2 linked regions of the Rhinolophus ferrumequinum genome follow. The protein of the gene in region 1 purifies or fractionates together with the protein of each later gene. This does not show direct contact. Links are inferred from orthologs where the notes say so. Each region holds a gene or a part of one and is shown in the gene's direction. Other genes may lie near its edges.

Region 1 (3,913 bases):
GGAAGAACTCGTTAAACCGCCAGGCTTCACCTTGACTTTTGGCCAAGAGAGTCGTCTGTCAAAGAGTCCTCTTTGAAGCCATAAATCTTTACTTAGTGATTCTCCCTTTCTTTGATTTTGATCACTAGGTCTTTAGAAAGCTTTTTTCTTTCTCCTTCTGTATTCTCTGTCACCCTCAGCCAGTTTTCTTCTTTTGATGTCTCTGCTTTCAAATGGTTCTGCCTTCCTACCTTTCTTGCTTTCCATTTTCTCATTATAAACTAATTAAAGCTTAATTCAGCCATACCTATCTGGTCCAGCTATGTGACTACTTCCCAACCTGGGAGACAGCTGAAGAAGGGAGGGAGGAAGAGAGAGACTGGTGATATACATTGATTGTCTGGAATTGTCCTGGCACTGTACTAGGTGTTTTACATAAATTATCCCATATGACTTTCAACAGTCTTGGAAGGTAGATATTCCAGCCTCTACATTACAGATGGAAAAACAGAGGTTCAGAAAGTTAGAATTACTTACAGTCATGATGAATGGTAGAAGTGAGATTCAAATAGAAGCCCAACTCCAAAGCTCCTCCTCTTATCACTAACCCCTAGGAAATTATAGGCAGGGTAGAGATAGAAACAAAAACTTGTGAGTTTCTGGGTCTGCCACGATCCAGGTAGGGAGATGAAGGTCCAAGGGAGCCTTCAGAATTTGAGAATGGTGAGGTGGAATAACTGGTTGAGGGGACTTGCCACATGGCCTGCTGCTTTTCTGGTATGACTCATTTCCTGCTGTTCTCTGCTGTTTTTCACTGTCCTCAGGAAACGAACAGGTATCCTGGTCCCTAAACTAGGAAGAGAAGGAATGGCATGGTCAGGTGATAGGCTCCAGGTAACCTGATGAATTACCTACCAAACCATAACTAGAACTTCAAAGCCTGACTCTGTTAAGCACCAGGTCAGTGCTGAAGCCACTTTCTCCAGCTCACAGGCTGCCGGGCTCTGAAGCCCTCACCCACTGCTCAGGGGGAGTCTGCTACTTGCTCGTGGCTGTGCAGTGTTCCCAGAGGTGTCTTTTTCATCTTACCAGGCATTTGTTTTTGTTTACCTGGGATTACATTTAAGTTTAGAATCTTTACAGTAACACACCCTGTATGACAGTACTGAGGTAAATAGCAGCTGCGTTGTTTTTCCTGATTGTGAAAGCTCCGCCCATTTGTCTCTGCCTGCCTGCGTAGGGCACTCATTATCAGAGAACGAAAACTGTGTGTGCCCATGCACGCGTGCCTGTGTGTGTGTGTGTGTGTGTGTGTGTGTGTGTGTGTATGTATGTATGTTCCTGAAATCTTTTGCAGACTGTCTTCCTTCTGTTCTCCTCAGCTGGGGAACCTTCTCCCTGCCAGAGGGCAGTGGGCTAGAATAGGCTGAAGGAGAGGCCAGAAAACAGAATTGATCTCCTCACTTATGGAAGTGCCAAAAGATTGTTAATGTACCAGAAGTCCCCTCTTAGAAGGAAAGCTCAGCTGGATGAGTTGGAAAGAGGGGCACTGATCCTTGGAAATACAGCGTGACTGACATCAGTGGGTACAAGGTGTTTGAAAGCAGCCGGGACAGCAGCCCACGCGGTGTCTTCTGGACTCTTATCAGGTAGGAGAAAGGAGACAGATGGATCAGAGGCAAACCCGCATTTAGAGTGGGGTGTCCTTTGGGTGTTCTTGGCTTTTCCCTCTTCTGGACTGGGGAAATTGTTGTTGATTGGTAATCCCAGGAAGAGAAAATCTAGAGCATAGAGAATATCTAATTTAAGACATGTTATTTCTGAGTCAGACAGAGAAAGACAAATACCATATAATTTCACTTATATGTGGAATCTGAAAAACAAAATAAACGAACAAACAAAACAGAAATAAACTCATAGATACAGAGAACTTTGTGGGGGTTGTCAGATGGAAAGGAGGATTGGGGTGATGGGTAAAAAAGGTGAAGGGATTAAGATGTACAAATTGCCAGTTATAAAAGTCACAGGGACGTAAAGTACAGCGTAGGGAATATAGTCAATAATATTGTAATAACTATGTATTGTATCAGATGGGTACTAGACTTACTGTAAGATCACTTTGTAAGTTATATAAATGTTGAATCACTATGTTGTACACCTGAGACTAATGTATTATAATATTGTATGTCAACTGTAATTAAAAAATTTTGAAAAACCACACACACAAAGAAAATAGACCTTCCCAGCCCCCAAAAAAGAAAAGCCATTGTTGACTTTTTGGGAGATCACTATTCGTTTGAGAATCTCATGAAAGCTGAAGAACATCTGCTTTAGAGTCATGATAATATACATTTGGGCTGCAAGTTAATGTGTCAGTAAAGGTTCCCTTGATGATAAAAATAAAGCAGCAAATAAAATTACCTAAAAAAACATATATTATTTCTGGGCTTTTGAGGTGTGATGTAGTAGATGAAGAATTAGGGAAGCAGGAATATGGGAAAATAGAATGATAATTATAATAAAAATAAAATGCCTTGAATTCGTATACCTCAAAGGAAATACAGTGTGTTCATCTATATGATCATATTCAAAATGCGATCTGCTTGTAGAGTTAGTGAGCACTGTGTTTCTTATCTACACTTAGGGGGCCTGTCTGTGTGCCATCACTCTGCTCCTCTATGGAGCAAACTTTTGGGGAGGAGCCAAGATACAAATTAGTCTTCCTCATCTCTGCCGAATATCACATCACGTGTGCTTCAGGAATTCCTGCAGACAGATAAAATTAAAAAGCAAGAAAAACTGATAATGCTCAGTCTTATTGTCAAAAGGTCTTTGTTGAAACAGTGTCAGGACTCCAGCCACCGTGGCAGAGCCTCTTTTCCAGCTGTTTCAAAGTGCCTTTCAGGCCCAGGGTCTCTAGGAAGGTGGGGGAGGGTGAATGAAGGTCAAAATGATCACAACCCCTCCACGTTAAAGAACAGGAGGACAAGCAATTCCCTCTGGGTGATCCCCTCGCTTTCTGCCTCATTCACACTAGGAGATATCACCCAGGATAAAGCAAGTTATCTACACAAGTCTGATTCTCTGGATTTAAAGAAGTTTCTCTCTTCAGTGGGAACCTTCCATTCACTTTTGTCTTCTCACAAGTTTGCTCCAGTAGAAAGGTGGAGCCTGAGGTGCTGTGGGATTCTCAGGCCAGTGCTCTGTCGTGTGGGAGTTCTGGTCTCTTCCTGATCCTCCCGCTCACAGTGAAAGATCACTAGTCCTGGAAACTAGGCCCTTTCCTTCCAAAAGCAAATAATAGAAATAGGATTGGGATCAGATCCAGGAAAATGAGCAAACAAAGAAAATGATCCAAGATTCCACAATCTGGTGAGTACTGGAAAAAATTTCTGATTCTACCCTTATTTTCAGAATACATTTAGAAGACAGACATGCAGACATCGTCTGTCCCACTATAAAACTTTAGATAACACATTTAAAGGCAGATGCTACTTATCTGTACTTTCCAATTTATGATATATTTGGTGGTGAAATTTGGTCTCAGCATTACGATTTTCATGATTCTTTTGGTTTCTGACATAAATCCTTCTCGACACTATTGGTCTTGTCCATTTGAGTGGTAAGTACATACACGCAATAAAGTAGTTTACGGAACATTCGGTTTGAAATTAAAAGACTGGAGTATGGAACCTTGCTCTGCCATTTACTTGTCTTTTTATAAAAACAAAAACAACAACAAAAAACCCTGGCCAATTCAGAACTTACTGTCTGAATCTCAGTGTCATCCTTGCACAATACCTGACACATGGTAGTTGTTCAGTATGTTTATTGGATCTGAAGACAGGAAGGACAGATCGTTTTCAGAATGTTGGAGATAAGTAGTTCTGGAATGTTCTAAATCTGCGAGGTTCTTTATCTTGCTTCTAACTTA
Region 2 (3,913 bases), on another chromosome or scaffold:
CCGGATCCAATTCAGAACAGTCCCCTCCCCCACCGGTCTTTCTCAGAGGTGCAGTCTGTGCCCCTCAAGGTGCGACGCTCACCGTCAGGAACTAGACCCGACACCCCCTTGTCTGTTTGCCTGTTTCCATACTGGTCCCCAAGTTCTGTGAGGGCAGAGACCCAGCCTGTGTGGCCACCACTGTGTCCCTAACACCCGCCGCATGGGCCCTGGGCGCTGTAAGCTTGTTTCCCTGAACCCATTTGCAGCAGGCCTGGGTGTCCATTGTCCTTCCCCAGCGTTTCCGCTCAGGCTCCTCGCCCCATGCCTCCTGTCTCCTCCTCCTCCTGCCCTTCCATGCTTCCACGTGGCCAACCCCAGCCTTGATTTGAAGAGTGTAGTGGAAGCACCTGGCATGTAGTAGGTGCGGCAGGCACACGTCCCAGCCTGGGGCAGCCAAGAGGAGGGCATGACTCTGGATCTGAGAACTACCTCAGGTCCCGAGCACTTTTCAGGGCCACTTGGTTGCTTCGCAAAGTCCTGTCCACTGTCGCCCTCCATGGGCCAAGATCTGGTGGGTGGCATGTGGCAGATGCGTCCTATGCGGCAGGGACAGGAGTCTGGGAGCAGGAGACAAGAAGTGATCCGTCTGATCAACCTGGCTCACAGAAGGAAAAAGCCATGTCAAACCTTAGAAATGAAATCGTTATTTTACCAGCAAAACTGGGTTTACTTGGGGATGGCACTCAAGTTACAATTCGAGAGAAGCCGGGAGAATAAACGGGAAGAGTGTTAATTGAACAGAGGAAAAGTAGGAAAAGTAGGAATGGTGGTTAGGAACAAAGATTTCATTGGAAGAAATCAGCGTTGTGGTGGTTTCCTGTGGCTCGGTGAGGAGAGACTGAGAATGAGGCGAAACGCGGCTCGGCAAACCACACTCCCCTCTCACGCAAGCGCATGCTCTACTAACTACCGGTCAACAGCCGGCGCTGCTGCTGGCTCGGGGACTGGCACCTCGCTAGAGGTCTGCCCAAGCGCCCGGCTCCGCAATGAGGGAAGAGGCGAGGCACGTCGACGCCCTATTGGGTCTAAGGGGTCCCTCCGATTTGGGCAATGGATCCTATGGGGCACCAAGGGTCTCCTGGCATCACAGGGTACTGCGTGGGGGCCCGCAGTGGCTTACAAAAGGGATACGTCTGCCGGAAGTCTTTCACGAGATATTTAAAGGCCATAAATAATATTATTTCATAGTTAGAGCGACTTTTCCATTCGGTGTGGCTTTCTAGAGTACCACGACAAGAACCATCTCCTACCGTCGCGCTTACTTAAGTGTCTTTGATCACGTAAAACGCTCAGATGTTGACTAACTTAACTGCCCGAAGCGCGCCCTCGCAGCCGCGGAGGATTGTGGGGGGCAATATGCAAAAGAGCTGGACCACCACACACGGTCCCGCCCCCAGGCGCGGCCAGGCTAGGGGGCGGGAGCCGCCTCCCTCCGGCCGCCGGCATCCCAGCGTTCCCCACCGGCGCAGGGGGACCGCTCTTGCCGGCGCAGCGACTCGCTGGCGTCAGCAGGCTGCGGAGGCGGAAGATGGCGGCGGCGGCCTGGCGGCCGTGAGTATCGCGGCGGCGGCGAGGGCGGCTGATGGCGGCCGGGAGGCGCCCTTGGGGACCCGCGGGCCATTAGAGCGCGACGCTGGGCGGCATGTCGGAGCACGCAGCGCCCGGGGCCCCGGGGCCTGGGCCCAACGGTGGTGGCGGTGGCGGCGGCCCGGCCCCCGCACGCGGGCCCCGCACCCCCAACCTCAACCCCAACCCACTCATCAACGTGCGCGACCGGCTCTTCCACGCTCTCTTCTTCAAGATGGCTGTGACCTACTCGCGGCTCTTCCCGCCCGCTTTCCGCCGTCTCTTCGAGTTCTTCGTGTTGCTCAAGGTGACCGCGGCTCCGACCCCTGACCCTTGACCCCAGCGGCCGGACCCTCTTCCTAGGCCTGCGACCTCTGACCCCGATACTGTCCAGGACAGCGAAACCCTCCCACCCAGAGGTCTAGATCCCGCCCCTTCCCTTGGGGATCCTCACCTTAAGCGTGCCACCCCAGCCCCTGATCCCCTATTTGAGACTTCACCCTGGGAAGGCCCAGTCTCACTGCTTGGGTGGCCCCTTAGCCTGACTCCAGGAACTCACTCCCAACTCCCCAGGTTGCACGCTACCTCTGGTGACCCACGTCGGTGAGGCCTGGAGCCTGGCTCTGACTTGTCCGGGACCTCCTCCTGTCCTGTGTCCCCTGACCATGCTCCCTGGGATCCTCACCCGGGGAGAACCCCCGCACTTCCCGGGCCTGTCCTGCCCCAGATTGCCAATCCTGGGCTTCCCCATTCCAGAGTCACTTTGACCCCCTCAGAACACACCCTGGGGCCACCCACCGGCACAGGAAGTACCACCTCCTTTCCCAAGTCTTTCTTCTGCTCCCCCTGTCTTCAATACTCACTTACTCCCCCACCAGTACCCCACTGCACCTTTACTTTCTCGGAACTTCATGGGGATATGTGACCTAGCTAAGGTCAACTTGCCAGGGTTAGTGGCAAAGTCACAGCAAGTGCTGCTACTCAGGAACCTCCTTCCCACCCTCCCTTGGGTGGCACAGAGGTTTCAGCCATGAGTGTGGCTTAGGAAGGACCTGCGTTGGCCTGGGTCCTTCCAAGAAGGGGCGTCACTCAGGTGTGGGTCCAGACAAGGAGCTGGCCAGACGAGTGCCAGGGTTCTGGGTTCCTGAGCAGAAGGGGCGCCCCAGTTTCTGACTGAAACTTCTGAGGAAAGGGAGAAGCAGCCGTTTAGTTTCCCGTCAGAGTGCTGCTGGGGAGGGACTGGGGTGTGGATACTGCCAGGCGAACTTCAGGTCTGTCTGCAGAAAGGGGGCTGATGCTGGCAGTAGAGGCGCTTGGGTTGGCAACCAGCCCCAGGGCCTAGAGAGCTGGGCAGAGAGGGCTGAGGAGAGCGGCTGCGGGGTCAGCCGTCTCGCTGCTTCCTGTCACCTCTGTGGGTCTCTGGTCCCCCTGGACTTCACAACTCTCACCACCAGCTTGGTGGTCCACAGACACCATGTTGGGGAGAAGGGCTGGGGTGCAGACTGGCCTGTGGGAGGCTCGTCTGGCCACACTGCTTCGCCCGGTAGCCTCCTCCCCTGGCAGAGGCCCCAGCTGTATTCTTGTTTCTGCATCTGTCTGCTGAGACCTGAATGCCTGGGGGCGACAATGTCTGTCTGCTGAGATCTCAGTGATACTGTAATTTCTGTCTTCCTGAGGCACTGGCTGCAAGTGAAGGAAACAGTTCACATTTGCCCAAAAGGGATCTTGGAGCTCATGAAATTGGGGAGCCTGTAGTGGGCTCCTACAGCTTCAGGCATGGCTGGATCCAGGCATGCAACAGTGCTCTCTGAGGCGGGGCTTCTCCCCATCTCTCTCAGGTCACAGCCACTGTGGTTGGGCCAACTTTGAGTGGGTGACTTTGCCCAGGCCACAGAACATACTCCAAAGGGGGACCAGGTGGTCCACCGCTGGTGTTGGTACCACCCTTCAGGGCTCATGGCAGGGCATGGAATGGTGGGCGGTCTGGTGGCCCCGCTAGTGGCTGTATGGCCATGCTCACCACCCCCCTGAGCACCAGTGTCCCCATCATAGGGCAGGGAGGAGCTTTGTGCTCTGGTCTGTGATCCAGGCTTTTCCAAGCTGTAGTTCTGGACCACACATTCAGCTAGTCCTGGAGAGTGGGAATTTGGTGTGGGAGCGTGTGGGCGTAGTCGGAGGCTGTGCTGGCCCAGCTGAGGGCTCACCCCAGTCTGGCTGAGCAGCCACTGGGGATGCTGGCTCCCTTACACCCATCTTTCCTGGGGAGGCAGGTGCCACATTGGGCCAGCTGGGCCCTTTCCCCAAG

Evidence for each region.
Region 2: the proteins of STYK1 (region 1) and TMEM259 purify together in Homo sapiens (affinity purification with mass spectrometry; 3 studies listed by BioGRID and IntAct, with this or other methods). This does not show direct contact. The link is inferred for Rhinolophus ferrumequinum from reciprocal best matches to the Homo sapiens genes STYK1 and TMEM259.

What each region holds. Positions count from the first base shown.
Region 1 is NC_046293.1:26,268,447-26,272,359, reverse strand, and holds the start of STYK1 (tyrosine-protein kinase STYK1), read left to right. Parts: upstream 1-1,286; 5' UTR 1,287-1,628; intron 1,629-3,016; exon of another isoform or gene 3,017-3,351; intron 3,352-3,913. UniProt on the Homo sapiens protein: Probable tyrosine protein-kinase, which has strong transforming capabilities on a variety of cell lines. When overexpressed, it can also induce tumor cell invasion as well as metastasis in distant organs.
Region 2 is NC_046301.1:61,945,757-61,949,669, forward strand, and holds the start of TMEM259 (membralin), read left to right. Parts: upstream 1-1,560; 5' UTR 1,561-1,684; coding exon 1,685-1,915; intron 1,916-3,913. UniProt on the Homo sapiens protein: May have a role in the ERAD pathway required for clearance of misfolded proteins in the endoplasmic reticulum (ER). Promotes survival of motor neurons, probably by protecting against ER stress.